Struthio camelus: one gene and its partner. The protein of the gene in region 1 binds, or shares a complex with, the protein of each later gene. Links are inferred from orthologs where the notes say so. Each region holds a gene or a part of one and is shown on either strand. Other genes may lie near its edges.

Region 1 (8,053 bases):
GGAATAGGCTTCTGTTCTATATTTTGGCAGTTCTGGAAACTAAGATTATGCCTTACCCTTCAAATCCAAGTTGGTGAAGTATTAAAACTCTGGAAAAAAAGTTTTTCAAATAGTATTGAGACAGGTTATCATTTCCAAGCCCTGAACACTGGGCAATGTGTTATTACCGATTATGATCCTCATTTTTGCTTATTATTTAACACAAATTTTTCCTTACCTAAGTCAATTCTCCTCCTACATTTTTCATAAGAAGCCTTGAAATGCTAAAGAGAAAGGGGGAACGCAGCACAGTACGTACTAGTGGAGAAGACATACCTCTCTGCAGGAACAGAGATAATAGAAACTGCACCTCTGTACAGAAATAGTTTGTTTTGCCATTGCTTTAGCACATTATATGGAAACGTGTCTTAAATTGCTTTAAGACTGTTTTGTTCTGTTGCGTTGCAAAAGAATTTATAATTGTGATCGGGGAATAAAGATTCTGAGCACATTCCTTATCTCATAAGATTGCCGCTTTGAAGAATACTGCTGGCAAGTAATGTATCATGATGAGAGTTTGTACGCATAATGGTCGTGTGCTGTTAAATCCTAATGTTTTGTAGAATCCAAATTTATTTATATAGTGATGTGACTTCAATTGTAGACAGTTTAGATTGCACACAGCTTTCACTTAAGAGGCAGTGTAAACTTATGATCAGTCATTTTATTGTTTATAGTCAGAGGTTATAACTATGAACAGCATTGCTACATGGAGAGATTAATTACTTTATATGAAGTTAAATCAATACTCTCTGCATACCAGTTCTTGTGTGAGACATTGCATCACGAGAGGAAAAAACTATAGTGAAGAGAAAGATCCTTATGTAAGACAGCTGGATAAAATGTGTGCTAGTGCTTTCTCCATTCAAGTTTAGAGCAACTTTAGAGATACAGTTTACTTTGGAGAATTCAAAAACTTTCCTTGAGATGCTGCCTGGTGCTGCCCATTTTTTGATTCTACCAACCCCCCCTTAAGACAGCGAGGATTGCAGGGATTTTATGCTAATGCAGTTGTCTAGTCTGTATCACTGGGGGATTCTAATGTCACGTGCCAACAGTCTTGATTTTAAAAGTTTAGAAAGACGATCCCTGAGAACAAAGAAAGCCCAATAATCCCATAAGCCCTGAATATCAACCACTATCAAAGGGCTGAAGAATAAGGATTCTTGTCTTATTAATTAATTTTCAAGAGTCACAAATTTTTACACCAAAAGAAAGCAAAATTCCCAGATAATAAAAAAATGCAAGTTATTAGGCTAAGCATTGCAGAAAATGATTTTGCAGCAATGACATCTTTATTCATTGAATTAAAGTTATTCATCTTGGCAATACGTTTAGGGCAAATGAATGGATAAAGCTACATTTCGGAGTCCTTGGCTGAGGGTTTGGCAAAGAACAGTTTCCCATGGGTTATGCTTTACAGAGAAGACGCCTGATTGAAGTCAGGGGAAAGATTTTGGTTCTTTCAGGTGACTTTCAAGCCACCATGCTTAAATCCTTCTAGGATCATACAAGAAAATACTAATATGGGCCCGTATAAAAAAATTTGTACTTTTAAATTTGTTTGTGAGAAGTGAGGAAGGCCATTATGCATACAATTAGTAAAACTGCAGTACTCCTAAGTGTTTACTGTAAATCATATGCATGTTTTATATATGCAAGAGAGTTTGAGGAAAGAAGCAGACTACAACCTGAAATCCACTGTGTCATTTTTCAGTAGCCTTCCATAGGACTTAAAGTCGGTAAAAGGCATCAAGCAATATGGTAAGAAATGTGTAGCAACAGTTGAGACTAAAAGATTCAATGGGCAGGAGATTCACTAGTGATTCTGCTGTTTCAGTAGTCTGATACTGAATCTGAAATGGTTTTTCGTTGTTGTTCTAGATATATAATTAAGCTTTTTTGTAGTATCTTGTGTAAGGCTTTGATAGTTAGGATGCTGATTGGTATCCAAACACTTTTTTCATGCTTGTAAGCATTGTAGGAAATATGGGAGAGTTGTGTGTTTAGCAGGACTGGGAGCTGAGGTTTACAAGAGTACCTTCATCTTTTGGAATGACTCCAGAACGGAGCTTCCATGTTTGTTTGAGTTGCAGCACTTAAGAACAACAATGTCCATCTTTTAAATGTTACATTAAATATAAATCCTTCTGAAACTCACCATTAAGCACTGACAACTTTGTGTTAAAACAAAAGCAAACCAGGACTATTTGTCTTTTTTTTAACTCTTAAACATGCCTTTATATGTCTATTTAAGGAGAAAATGCAAATGTTTTGAATCAAACACAAAACTATGACTAGCTAAAGTTTAAATATAAGGAGAACTGAAACGGCAAAAGAAAACATTCAACAGCTTGGTTTTTTTAGCCTTGAAAAGTCTAAAATAAGCAAACTCTACAACAAGCAAACAGAGCAAATTGCTATAGCATGCTACTGGTTTTTTTTTTTTTTTTTTTTTTGCTGCTATTGACACTTTTTAATCCCCCAGTCTCAGCTCACGTTTCTTACAGTGGCTCCTCTCTGAGTTTTCCTACTGCTAATGATTACAGATAGAAAACAGTTATTGAAACACATCCACATTTGAGAGGCAGGATGTATTAAACAGGAGCGTATCAGGTATGTCTAGACTCAGAGAGGAATGTGCTTGACAGATGTATATTACACCAACTTAATTAAGGGGGAGTCTGGATTTTTTAATGTAATTTTAAAACCACATTGAGAGAATTCATTTGAAGGAGTCATAGAGCTTACATCAAGGATTTCCTTTGTTTGTCAACAGTAGCTATCATTGCCTTTAAAACATAACATGGCCAGACCTAGAACTGTATTTCTGCACTATTAAGGATATCTCTTTTCTCATTTGTATTTAGAAGATCAGTTCATTGCCAGTGTATTAATTTCACTTAAAACTTTAAATTAGTTACCTTGTAGGCCTTATCTGGGTATTTTCATATAAATAATATTATAATGTTTTCTGCTTAATTTGAAGACGAGAAAAGGAATACCAACTGCTTGGTGATGAGGAACGGAGAAAAGATTTTAAATCGGTAAACATTTAAATTGGCCGTCTTTTATGGGACTGAGAAAAATGCAGCCTGAAATGAGGAAAACCTTAAAATGTTACCCCTTAGCCAAAGGTATAGTCACTCCTTTGCAGAGAAAGTATACAGTAAGTGAATAGGCTGAAATCTAGAAACCTTATGATCAGATTGTGACTTGAGGTGCTATGATTGCGATTACAAGCTTTCAATTATGACACTTTAAACTTGATATACAAGTATACAAGAGTAGTCAGTGAAAGTGCTTTCTTGCATGAAAATATTTGACTCCATGATGGAAGTTCTATGAATTGGGGAAGGAAAAGGACAGAATGAGAACGTAAAGAGAACTGGGGAAACGATGAAGCCAGCTGATGCTATGATGGCACAGCATGAACAGTGTTTCATCTTGTTTCGTGATCTAGTTACTGAGAGATGCTCTCTGCGTGACACTTGGCTATTGAAATGGATATTGTCAGGTCAGTTTTATTAACATGCTGCAAAATACCTCTGTTTCTGCAGTAGTCTGTGATGCTTCTGAGAGTTTTTGGCATGTTTGAACTCAAACCAGTGATGCTGTGTTCCTGGCTTAGATGAGTTTTGCATCCTGGAGCGTGCTGGCTGGCTGGCTTCAATCCTATACTTTGATCTGCAGTGTTGTAAGGCTCCACTGAAGGACAATAAGCTTTGTAATTTATTTATGTTTTATATCTTTATAGCTGTTCTGATTAACCTCTACCACTGTCTTCATTTTGCTGCTTTACTCTCCTGTGAAGATATTGAAAAAATGTTAGTGCTTTAATAATTGTGTTAAAATGTAGCTCTATTTAAATTTTAGATTTTTTTTCAGATTGTAAATGAAGTGATTGTTTCGTAGTATCCACATAGTTTATTAGCTGATCTACCACCTTAAGACTGATAAAGAATAGAGTAGAAAGAATAGAAGGTACCTAAAGACCTGATGGAGAGATACCTTCATGTATAACCTTTTGAATGTCATTCCCTAAGTAGTTCCATAATGGGATTACTCCAGAAATAAGAATATTAGAATAGGAGTAGAGAGCCAGGATCCAGCCAAGGCAGTCAGAAATCTGTTCTCTTACAATTCTCTTACCAAAAGAAGTATAAGTGTGATGCAGAATAATTTGAAAAGCTTTTAAAATTTTTGCACGAGTTTCAGAAACGCTGTTCACATCAAACAAAAATAATAATATACAGAATATAACTCCTCCTTTCACAGCGCTGGGATTTGATCAGGCTGTACTTTGTTACTGCAATATGCAGTTCTCCACTTGTTGTACTTAAAAGGAAAAAAGTAACATCAACAAAGAAAAAACTCAAGCCTTATTTTTAATCATAGTGTCTCTGAAAAACATATTTATGCTGTTTTATGTAGGGCTCTGAACTGGGGGAACTTCTGTTCAAAGATGGCTCCAGACTCTCATTGACGGGAATACTGCAGATAAATAAGGTACTGTTCAGGGTCTGTTTCTAACATGCCGAAATCTTTTTCTCCCTCCAGTTAAAAAAGCTGCGTGCCTGTTACACTCTCGCAGATGGAGCAGCCAATATTGCTCAACAAGTAACCGATCAGGACTAAACAGAAATTTTCTTGCAAGATTGCAGACGTGCTGGGTGCGCGGTTTAACCAACCGCATGCGGTGGCGGAACCGCTGGGTGAAACGGCGACGAACTTTGCTTTCCCCTCGGGGCTGGGACCTAGAGGGCGGTAGGCTTTGGCGGATCCGCCGGCGGGAGGAGGAGGAGGCGGAGGCGGAGGCAGGCCGGCCGACCGGCCGGCCGCCCCCTCTCGCCGCGCAGAGGCGCAGGCAGAGGGCGCTTTCGCCATGCGCGGCCCCCGCGGCCGCCGCGCAGCCCCGGGCGCCGCGCACCCCCCGGCCGCGCTGCCGCTGACAGGCGTCCGGCGAGCCCTCCGCGGCGGCGGACGGCGGGCGCCCCTCTGCGCACCCCTCGGCCTCCGCCGCGGCGCGGCCCGCGCGGGCAGGGGCTGCGCGGGGAGGCGGGAGCTCCCCAGGGGTGAGCGTCCGCTCGCTCCCGCTCTGCCTCTCTCTCTCTGCCTCCTTCCCTTCCCTTCCCTTCCTTCCCTCCTCCTCCTCCTCCTCTCTGCGCTTTCCACCTCCCCTGCTCCTGAGTGAGCGCAGCCTCGGATGTCCGGTTTCCTGGTGGGTTTTTTACCTGGCAAACTCCGGATAACTTTGGTGAGAATTTGCAAAGCGGCTGGGAAAGTTGGGAACTCCCCTGCAGGCGTCTAGGAGCTGCTGCTACTGCATCTTCTCCATCCCACGGATTTTACTGCCTTGGATATTGCGAGGAGAGGGAGGGGGGAGACGGCAGCAAAAGAAGGGGGAGAGGAAGAGAAGGAGCCTCCTAATTTCGCCTGCATTCCTCCAAGTGCCCCGTGGCTCCGCGGCGCGCCCGCCCTGCCATCTTTGCACAATGCACTTGCTGGAGGTGCTCTCCCTGGGTTGCTGCCTGGCTGCCGGCGCCGTGCTCCTGGGACCCCGGCAGCCGGCCGCCGCCGCCGCCTACGAGTCCGGCCAGGGGTACTACGAGGAGGAGCCCGACGCGGGGGAGGCGAAGGTACGTCCGTGCCCCCGCAGCAGATGCGAGCTGCCTTCTGCAGGCATGCGCCTGAGAGTGCGCTCGGACGGGCTGCTTGGAAATCCCGCGGAGGAAAATATTTGGGAGAAGCCTTTTGAAATGGGAGCTCTTCCAAAACCCGGGGTGGGGGTTGGGGGGATTTGTTTAAGCCAAAAAAAAAAAAGAAAAAGAAAAAAAAGTTTCTGGGTTTTTTTCAGGGTTGCTGGAAGGGTGGTTGCAGAGGGAAGAACCGTGTTGACAAAGAAACGCAAAACACCTGATCAGCAAAGGCAGCCCGAGGGCTGTGCCCCTGCCGCGGTCCTTGGTGCTGCGTGGCCGTGGCCGGGGGCTGTCCCGCGGGGAGAGGTCGCGGCCGCGGCCCCGCCGGCCGCCGCTCGGCCCGGAGGCGGCAGCGACCCGCGGCTTCGGCTGTCGCTTGCCTCGGCGCTGGCAGCCGGAGTGCTCCCCGGCCGGCGGGTCCCGGCGGCCCTGGAGGCTTCTTCAGCGAGGGCAGGGCTGCGGGGGGCCGGGGGGCGCCGGCGGCTTTGTGCGGGTGCCCGCGACGGGCTCGGCGGGGCAGAGCGGGGAGCTAGCTGCTGGAGGAAGGGCTGAGCACCGCTTCGAGCAGCAGCTGTGCATAGGAATGAAGTAGCGAGGGAAACGTGTGGGGGACGATGACAACAAAAACTGAGACTTTCCATTTGTTGAAAAGTCTCTTGGAGTTATTGAAACTGCAGTGACCTACTGCTGCGTGACAGAGTTTATAGAAGGTGTAACTTGACACTTGGATTTGAAAACTGTCCAGGCGTACAGTACAGTTAAGGTTCTACATACGTTCTCAAGTTCCGATTGTATGTTAATTTTTATTTCTGTTGGAAGTTTCATAACTTAGAATTCAAGTACCTTTCAGCAAACTTTGTGGTTTTGCAGTTCCCAGTACGCTGATGCATGAAAAGGATGTGTAGTATATACTTGTGTAAGCAGGCGATGTTATTAGAAAGACCTTTGATGTCCGAGTTCGTAACAAGTCTTACCCTGATGTAGATGTTCTTAAGATTCGCAGCATACTTGTCAAAAGCAATGGTGAGTCAGCTCATTCATTATCCACTGAAGTATGGAGGAAAAAAAGTACAAAATGTGTGAATTACGAGTTCAGCTGCTATTCTGCACTTTTTTGTTTTTTAGATTTACAGTGATATTTTTAATCTGGTTAATGAAATAAGTTTAATATACTAATGCTGTTTGCTTTACTGATTGAAAGTTTAGGAAAGTTTACTGTAATTGGATGGGAAGTCAGACTCAGGTTCTGATAATGTGCATTAGCTGTACTTATTTTGGATATTCAAGCTGTTGTAGACCATGTGTAGCTCACAGAATTCATGCTTTTCCAATAATACTCTAAATAGAAAAGGTTACTGAGGATATTGTACTCCCTCTTCAGACATTTCAATTAGAGCCTGAATGCTTATATATTAACATCCTTAATGCTCTAAGTGATTATATTGCTTGAATGCTTATCAAGTATTTTGCAAATCTAAATATTTAAAAATAGGGACACAAAATCAGTCTGGCTGGTCACTTATTTTATCTTATCATTCACTAAGTTTTGCATTGTTATAAATAGTCTAAATAATTTTAAAAAAACATAAAAAACAAAGAAACTCCAGCTTATGATAGTGAGCCAGTTATTTCCTGAGTGAAATTGATTTTTGTATTGTAAACCCTCAGAACAGCCTGTGCTGAAAAGGTAGAAGGAATCAAAACTGGAGCACAGTGCATACTTTGTGCGTTTAAACTACTGAGGTAGAACAGCTGATAGTAAAGATACCCTCCTAAGTGATGCTGTACGTTTCCATGCACATGCTGTAGATAGTTACCCTGCTTCTTGAAACCTCTAAATCTTTAGGAGCTACCACTGAAGTGTGTTTTGTAGAAGTGCAAGTGTTCCCTGGAAAAAGGGGAACCGTGAGCAGAGCGAAGGAAAAAGGTCAGCAGCCTGGGAAGTGAGTGGGATAGCATATGTTAAACAATTATATTAACAAAGAAAATGATTTTGTGCCTGACTAGTGGTGAACAGTAATATGAGATTCAGCGTCTGAGCAGCCTTGGTGACGTTGGAAGTCTTAGTTGTGAGTTACCCTGATTTTTTTCTGGAACTGTTTGAGTGAGCGTGTATTGTGCGTGTTTGTCCCTGGGATGAGAGACTATTGAGATGAATGCCTGGAGTAATTAGAAAGGATTAAATAAGTAAACTGTAAGTAATTAGTTCAAGGAAAATGTGATTATACTGTCAGTAAAAAGTCATTTACTTGAACTTTCTTAAATCAAATGAAAAATGCGTGCTGGCTTGTGTTTGTAGATTTTTACGGTTTCCC
Region 2 (7,834 bases), about 8.7 Mb from region 1:
CTAGCAGAAGAGAAAATGGGAATAATATTAAAGGTAGTGGTGCTATCAGTGTTCCTTTCTAAATGAAAGGCCTTCACTGAGCAGTTGCGCACCTTAGGCTGCCAGGGACCATTTACAAACCTATTCAACTGCTGCAGCAAGGAAGAGCATAATCGGTGTTCCCAGTGCCAGCCCTTATCTCCCCCCAGGTTGTTATTTGAATAATTAAGCAAACAAAAGGCTGCCTGTCTGCCCCTGCTGCTGCAGTTGTCCTGGCTGGGCTCTGCAGGCAGCCGGGAGATGCTGGTGGGAGTGAGCAAGCGTGGGGGAGTCGTGACAAGCCGGGGAGGAGAGGGAAGGGGGAGTGATGGGGAGCTGCCAGTCTCTTGTCCTGCTTCTTTGTGTCTTGTTTTTAATGAGCTTTTGGCGACCAGAGGAGCAGATGCATAAACAAAAGTTTGCTGGCCTTGTTTGGCCAAGGCACGACTTCGTGCCCCCTCCTGTCATACAGATCGTTCCCAGTGATTGTGTCACGGAAACAGAGCTTCCCTCCTTGGGGGGCTGCAGGCAAAGAGGCTAACGAGGGCTGAAAACAAACTCGAAGGAGGGTTGCTGTCACTCTCCATCTCAAGGTGTAGGCAAGGGGTTTAAGAACTAAGCCTCTAAGGGGCTTTGGAAGATGCTGTATTAGCAGGGAATTGATCTGACTAAATGTACAGGAATCATGCTGGCTGAGTGTATCCCACCCATTAGATATCAGCTCTCCTGCAAATCTCCAGATCCAGTCCCGAGCCAGACCAAGACTCACGCAGTGTGGTAGGAAGGCTGGGTGTTTGGGGAGCTCATGCCAGCCCTGCATTCTTTACTGGAATTGTCTGGCCAAGACAGCGGCAGGCTTTTCTGACTAAGCCAGTCCTCAAAAGTCTTGAAGGGATTGTTTGTCATTTAAGGCAGGTGAGGGTGTTGAGCCTAAGGGTAGGTGTAGCATTAGAAGCTATTTCATGTTGTTTTGAGGATCCCAGGAAGAAACAAGATTCCCAGATTGAAACAGTCTCTGAGGAGGGAGGAAATCTCACCATTTTATTCATTCAGTAGTCTGGATTATGATTCTCGTATTTGGATTCTTTCACTTGCGCCACATGGTTCAGCGCCGGTAATCTCTGGTGAAAGCCAGGCTACATTTGATATCCTACAAGGCTAAAGGAAGGCAGAAAGGCTGCACAGAGCTTATAGCCTAAAAGACTGGATATGAAAGTTGCCATCACTTGAATCACTGGGATTTTGGTTTTGTAAACTGTGCCCCTTTGCCCCTCAACCTTGCAGCCATCTGTTGCCTAATATCCCACAGCTATCCCAGTAGCAGTGTATCACAGTAGCAGTGTATTTAGATCAGTCTTTCAGTTAGATGATAGGTAACTGTCTCTCCTGTGCTTCGGTCCATTCTTCTCTCAGAGGTTTCCCATGGTGTCTTCCAGTGACAACCCTCTTGAGAAAGCCACAACAAAGTTCAAAATATAAAAATCAGTGTAGCAAAGCACATATGATACCGTATACTCTGTGTCAGTAAAGTCATTTCACATCTTTTTTAGCTCTTGCTTTCCTTGTACACCTACCATTTCCAATGAGTATTGACCATAGTTTTTACTTGATATTATTAGAGGATTAGTCCAATGCACACTATGCATGTAAATAAATTCATTCACATGAAAAGCCCTACATCAGTAAAATGACTCTCCAGAGTAAATTTCCTCTTATGTTTAAATGTCTGCAGGGCTGGGAGTTCATTCAAATATCTGGAGTGTAAGGACTTGTCTTCTACTTCATTCATATCACAAATTTCTCTGATACGCTAGGGACAGTAATGAATACAGTGAAGCAGCAGCTTCTATAGCATAATTCTAGTTAACAAGCTTAAACTGACAGCCAGGCAAAGGACTGAAGGATTGTACTTCCATTTACAGGGTAAAGACGGAGATTTCAGTGGGATCACTAAGGGAGATAAGTACTGCTCAGAATGGATAAAAAGGGTAGATTCTGATCTGGAGCAGTACAGCCAACATATGGTCTGCAGGCGAGGTTTTTTTGTTTGTTTGCTTGTTTTTAATTTTTTGTCTGACTACGTGCTTCTGGACTACACACTTCTCTGTGGATACCTGACATTCATAACTTGCACGCTCCTCACTGCTGGCTGTTCAGCTAGGTGTGTGCATTGACTAGCCTGGAGGTTCGTGTGTCCGCTGTCCTTTCCTCCCCTTCCCTTCCCCAGGAAACTGCAGAGAAAGGAGGCAGGGGATGTAATGATCCCCAAGGGACAAGGAGGGCTAACTTCTAGTGGGCCATTACTGGGAAACTGAAGTCTGCAGTGTTCTGTCTCTCCTCCAACCTGCTGCTCATCTGAGTTGTGCCATCCTGGTGTAAAATGAATTTTACCTTCTTCTCTTTGCTGCCTTTGGGCATGTTACAGAAGTACAGAACATTCTGCGGTCTTCACTTAAGAGGCACCAGACTTGGAAAAGGAGATGTAGGAAGTATTGGGGTGCATTTGCAAGTTTGACTGAAGAAGAAGTCACGTATCCCTGCTTAGGTAGCCTCAGGGCAAGCAGTGGATATTTATTATTTTGGATATTTGGATATTTGCTTGGATTTGTTTGCAAGTTTAGATATTTGTTATTTGCACAAAGCTCAGATGCCAAGATCGTTTTCAGCAACGAAACCAACCACCCCACTCCAGTCCCCTGACATAATAGCAATAATTATGCTTGAAAAGAGGCCATAAATGGAATTACAGTAAGCTATATTTGTGTATTGTCTAACTAAGTCTCAGAAAAGTCATTTGCTAAAATCAGTATAGTGGCATATTTTCTACAGACTGCATTTTTGGAAGTTTATATATGAGTATAGAAAGCAGTAAAGTGAGGTACGAGTGATTGTCCTGTGTTCCATGGATCCCATAGTATGTTCATTTGAACATTTTTCAACTTATCCCTATAATTTCATTAGCTTTGTTAACGAGCTAAACTGCTTTGGAGGAAAACAGTTCTGGCAGGTTTATCATCTCTAATAAAAATGTTGTTCTTGGTAGTCAAAAACGACAGAAACAGCAGCACCACAAATGAAGTTATCAAAAGTGGCTCTTTAACAGTAGGTGGCTTTGGTTCTCACTAAGTATTTATCACTTCTACATAAACGTAAACCTCATATGCAGCCTAGCCATAGTCTCAGCAAGGGACAGTTGTTTAGTTGAGAGACACCACTGACCCAACCTACAATATGATGGAGATAGATGAGGGCTACCAATTTGCTGGTTTAAGAGCTCATAAGAATAGCAGTAACACATTTTATCTGCACGATGCCCACTTGCCACTTTTTGGGCCATATGATTCTTCTCTGACTTTTCATGGAGTTTATTTGGTTTCTGGGAAAAAATTAGTACAGAAATTTGGCTTCTCCCAGTCCTTGTATTTTTCTGTGATCAACAGGGGTGTTTCAAAGGAAATTACGCTGATTCCCAAGTACAGTAAACCAGCTGGAATTGCACAGCATGCAAAATAAAATCACTGCTTCGTTAACTTATTCATTTGTGGACAGGCTCACATGCAGATCTGCAGGTAAAGAGAAAACTGTAGTATGCAGATATGTATGTACATGCATGCATGCAGTTATGTATATAGCTATGTTGTTTCTGTCCATTTTCCTACTTAGATGGCTACTTATCTATCTACCCACCTATTTTATCTATCTGTCTACCTATTCTATCTATCTGTCTATCTCTCCACCTACCTACCTACCCATTTGTTACTGCAGATGTATTTGTTTCCCCCCTGAGGCTGTAGATTTATGTGTATGGATAAAGCATTTATGACCATGTATTTATTTTCCCAGAAGGACTGCTTCATGAACTTGTCTTTCAACAGTGGCTTGGTTAATAATTTCGATTAAAAAGTACAATTCTAGTTGGGGATGGGGGTTAATTTTTTTTTGGGGGGGGGGGGGGATGAAACCTGCAGTATGAAAGGGGAATCAGTACCGCAGCTGGTATTGATACCTGGGGAAAGAGTACTGGATTTGGCTGTTGGAGGAAAAGGGTGGAAAGGATGAATCTTACGAGAAGTTGCCGGATTCTGCTGGACGTGATTTAGTCAGTTAAACTGATGGATACGTGTCACACGCGCCGAGAAGATGCACCTGACTGAGGGACTTTCAAGTTGTCCTGCAAACGCAGGTCTTCCTATGGTCAGAGACGTAAAAGCTCGGGTGGATAAAGTCAAGGGGCAGCAGGAGAAGAACCGTGTCTTCCTGCACGTGCCTCAGGAAGAACCCTGTCACGCGAGGTCCCACCGGCCACCCCGACAACGTCTCCTCGCCCGCCCGGCCCAGGCCGCCAACGGCCCAACCGTCCCTCCGGCCAACGGCCGCCGGGGACGGGGCGGGGCGGCGGCGGCGAGGCCCCGCCCCCAGCCCGAGGGGACGGGACGGGGCGGGGCGGGGCCGGCGGCGCTCGCCGGGGTCCCGCATCCCGCGGCGCGGCGCGGAGCGGCTCCTGCCCCGGCCCCTGCCGCTGCCACTGCCCCGACGTCGCTCCGCGCTCGGCAGCGCCCGCAGCTGAAGCCGCCCCCGGCTGGCGGGAGGGCCCGGCGGCCGCGGCATGGAGCTCGGCGCGGCGTTGGTGCTGGTGGCCGCGCTGTGCTTGGCGCCCGGTAAGCGGCACCCGTCGGGGCGCCCCGCAAAGGGCGGTTGGGGGGAGGGGGGGCGGCCGCGGAGCCGTTGCGCTGCTGCGGCCCCGCGGGGTGTCGAGGAGGGGGGCTCGGCCGGGCGGCCGCGGGCCTGCAGCCCGGCGGGGAAGGGCTGTGCCCGGCGGTGCTGATGAGCAACGGTGCGGCTCGGCTGAGGGGCAGCCGTCGGCTGGGCTGCGGGTCCGCGGCGGGAGCCCCAGCCCGGGGCTGTCATCGGCCGCCCTTGGTTAAACCGCGGGGACGCGCGAGGGGAAGGGCAGGGAAAGAGTTAAGGCCTGGCCCGGCCGTCTTGTCACCCGCGGCGGCTGGCCGCGCTGTGCCGGTGGGGAGTCCTGGTCCTGCGCCGGTGGGGCAGGATTCCTGGCGGGAGCGCGGCCTGAAAACCTCTGGCTGTGTTCCTCGCAAGCCTTGCGCAACCTGGACTGTGTTGCCTCAGAGCGAGCATCGGCGCTGAAATCGCAGCCTTCGCGAGCGCAGGTGGCTCGGCGCGAGCCTGATGCAACCCTGGCGTGAAGAGAGCTCGAGGGTAATGGGTTTTGCCCGGCTGCTTAGGAAGAGAGGGGCAACGTGAGAAAAACATGGTAAAGAAGAGCAGTGCTGGGCTCATGAGACCTTGACTTTGTGGCAAACTGTGCAAAGGAATTCTTCACTGAATTCCTTAATCAGCAGGCTCAAAGAATATAAATATATGCAATTTATTATAAGAAAAGCTGGTGATCCCTTTCCCCAGGGAGTGAGATCATCAGATGAAGGTTCGCTTTATTTCAATGTCCAACATCCTCTTGTTAGACCTTGAATCTGGCAATGCAAAAAAACAGGAACTCCACCCTGGCTCGATGAATTGTAGTGCTCTGCAGCTAGGTCCTGACCATCTGCCTTTTCTTCCTGTTATGACAGAGTTTTTGAACTTTGTGATGTGTGAAAAGTCATTATTTACCGCTACACTGCTAAGCAGATGATGTGAAAGTGTCCACTTAAAACATGTAGCATCTACTTGTATGTGATGCTTTTCTGATTGAGCAGCATTTACTTTTATCTTGTAATTGCTTTGACTGGAGGTTTTTCATACATATTTTTGCAGGTTTATTTACTTCTCTGGATCAGCCAAGCCTTAGCATCCAAAAAGATGTCCTCACAATAACTGCAAATGCTACTCTAAATATTACTTGCAGGTAAGGGCAAATCTGGCCAGTATGCTTTTGATGGGGGTTACTTATGCAGCCTTTTTTTGTACAGAATTACAGATGACTCTTTCTCTCTCTCCTTTCATCTCTCCCGTTTCTCTCCCCTCCCTTTGTAATTCTCCCTTCCCCTGTGCTTTTCCCTGATGGGCTTTAGAAATGATCTTAAAGGGTTACAGTAACGGAGGATCACTGAAGAAAGGTACAGCAGCAGGCTAGCCAATGGGCATGACATAAAAAGTGCTTCAGAGTAGCTTTGGTCTAGTCCCGACTACTACCCTGTGAGAGGAGCTGGGAAGTGCAAGGAGACGCGGCATTAGCTGGATCCTTGCAGGGTGTGCTGGGGAGTGAGGCTCTCGCCCCTCCCTTTTAGGATCTGTGTTACTTCGATTTGCCATCACTGAATTCTCAAAATGAAATAGCTTCCACGTAGGTATTAGTAATAGCTTGGTTTGTGTGAATTTGTCATATGGGACTTGACAATCCATGCTACGTAATGAAGCCAATTCCTTTTTGTACCTGTAGAGACTAGCAGAACTGAGTTTTACCAGCTTGGCAACCGTACTGATACCCATCACGTGCTAATGCTTCTCTAACATTTGCTTTCCTAGTGGTCAGAGAGCTCTGGACTGGTTCTGGCCGAACAATCAGAGCAGTGCTGAGAAGCGTATCGCTGTGACAAACTGTAGTGATGGCCCCTACTGTAAGATGCTTACTCTCCTAAAAGTAATAGGCAATGACACAGGAGACTACAGGTGCCTTTACAGGGACAGCCAGGCAGCTACAACCATTTATGTCTATGTTCAAGGTAAGTGCTTACACAGTTCATATGTGACTCCCACCTCTCTGCAAAATGAAAAGGGGTATTAAGCGTCTCAAAATGATTTTGGCATTAAAATTTCTAAATCCCAAAATTTTTAGTCCTATGAAACTATTATTTTTCCTACCCATTTTCATGCTAAGTAGTTACATGCCAATATGCTCGCTGCCTTCAATAGAAAAAGCTGTGTGCTTGTAATTTTAAATTAACCTTCCATGTACGGTACTTAGTCTACTTTTCTCCTCTGCCCAGAACTTAGCCTGCATATATCTCTACTGTGCTCTCAGCCTGTCCTCATGATTGCAGAGCTATTACTGAAGTCAGTAGGAGTTTCCTACAAGGGAGGATTATAGAGGTCGTATGTATTTTTTAAAATAGACGTATCACCCTGCCTTTTACCATTTGTACTAACTGATGCTGTTCAAACAAATTAAACCGTGAGCTTCCGTGCATTGGTTGACTATAGGAGTAAAAGCTGAGTTTCAGACTCAGGCTATCAGTTCTGTTGATAGAAATGCTGAAGAGCATGGCAGCTGCTGCAAAGCCTTCAGTTATACATTCAGCTTAAGAAGGTGCATACACTAAGGCATCTCCCTTTTTTGCACTTGCGTTGGTACCCATGTTCTTGTGCGTCCTATTTCCTTTTTATTCTAACTTGTGGTTAGCATTTTTAACAATGGGGTGTTGTTATATACATGAGCTAGCTTGTTCTATAAGATCATGAGCTCTCTTTTTTTTTTTGACTGACTCTGAAAAGGACCCTGCTGTTTTGGGGGCTGTTTAGCGTGTCACTACTTTAACTGATATTTCCTGTAATACTTATGCAAGCAAAGTTATACTAGGGTAAATCAGATTTTTGCCTGCACAAAGAGTGCCGTGGCAGGAAGCTATTCTCTGAAGTACGTACTCCTGCTGATAACTGTTTTGAGAATAATAGTATTGTAAAACTGGGTGGCTGTCAAAACATAGCCCTCCCTTTATTCTCATCATTTGAGTGTTTTGCCAGGTAGAAAGAAATAAAACTGATTTGAGAAGGAATAAACAGAGAAAGAAAAAAATGGAAAAAGTTTGCTCCCAAATCACTTGACAAATAATATCTATTTACCAACCAAATGTTCTTC

What was found.
Region 2: the proteins of VEGFC (region 1) and KDR are in contact, whole or in part, in a crystal structure (PDB 2X1W), measured with the Homo sapiens proteins. The link is inferred for Struthio camelus from reciprocal best matches to the Homo sapiens genes VEGFC and KDR. Residues at the interface, in NP_005420.1 of Homo sapiens: Thr148, Asn149, Phe151, Lys153, Phe186, Ile188, Val190, Pro191, Leu192, Gln194, Pro196; in NP_002244.1 of Homo sapiens: Val135, Tyr137, Ile215, Val216, Val217, Val218, Asn253, Val254, Gly255, Ile256, Asp257, Phe258, Asn274, Arg275, Asp276, Phe288, Leu289, Ser310, Ser311, Gly312.

The regions. Positions count from the first base shown.
Region 1 is NC_090945.1:47,927,095-47,935,147, reverse strand, and holds the start of VEGFC (vascular endothelial growth factor C), read left to right. Parts: upstream 1-4,983; 5' UTR 4,984-5,245; coding exon of another isoform or gene 5,246-5,296; 5' UTR 5,297-5,534; coding exon 5,535-5,678; intron 5,679-6,608; exon of another isoform or gene 6,609-6,722; coding exon of another isoform or gene 6,723-6,761; intron 6,762-6,781; exon of another isoform or gene 6,782-8,053. UniProt on the Homo sapiens protein: Growth factor active in angiogenesis, and endothelial cell growth, stimulating their proliferation and migration and also has effects on the permeability of blood vessels.
Region 2 is NC_090945.1:56,670,547-56,678,380, forward strand, and holds the start of KDR (vascular endothelial growth factor receptor 2), read left to right. Parts: upstream 1-4,463; 5' UTR 4,464-4,624; coding exon 4,625-4,676; intron 4,677-5,793; coding exon 5,794-5,884; intron 5,885-6,504; coding exon 6,505-6,701; intron 6,702-7,834. UniProt on the Homo sapiens protein: Tyrosine-protein kinase that acts as a cell-surface receptor for VEGFA, VEGFC and VEGFD. Plays an essential role in the regulation of angiogenesis, vascular development, vascular permeability, and embryonic hematopoiesis.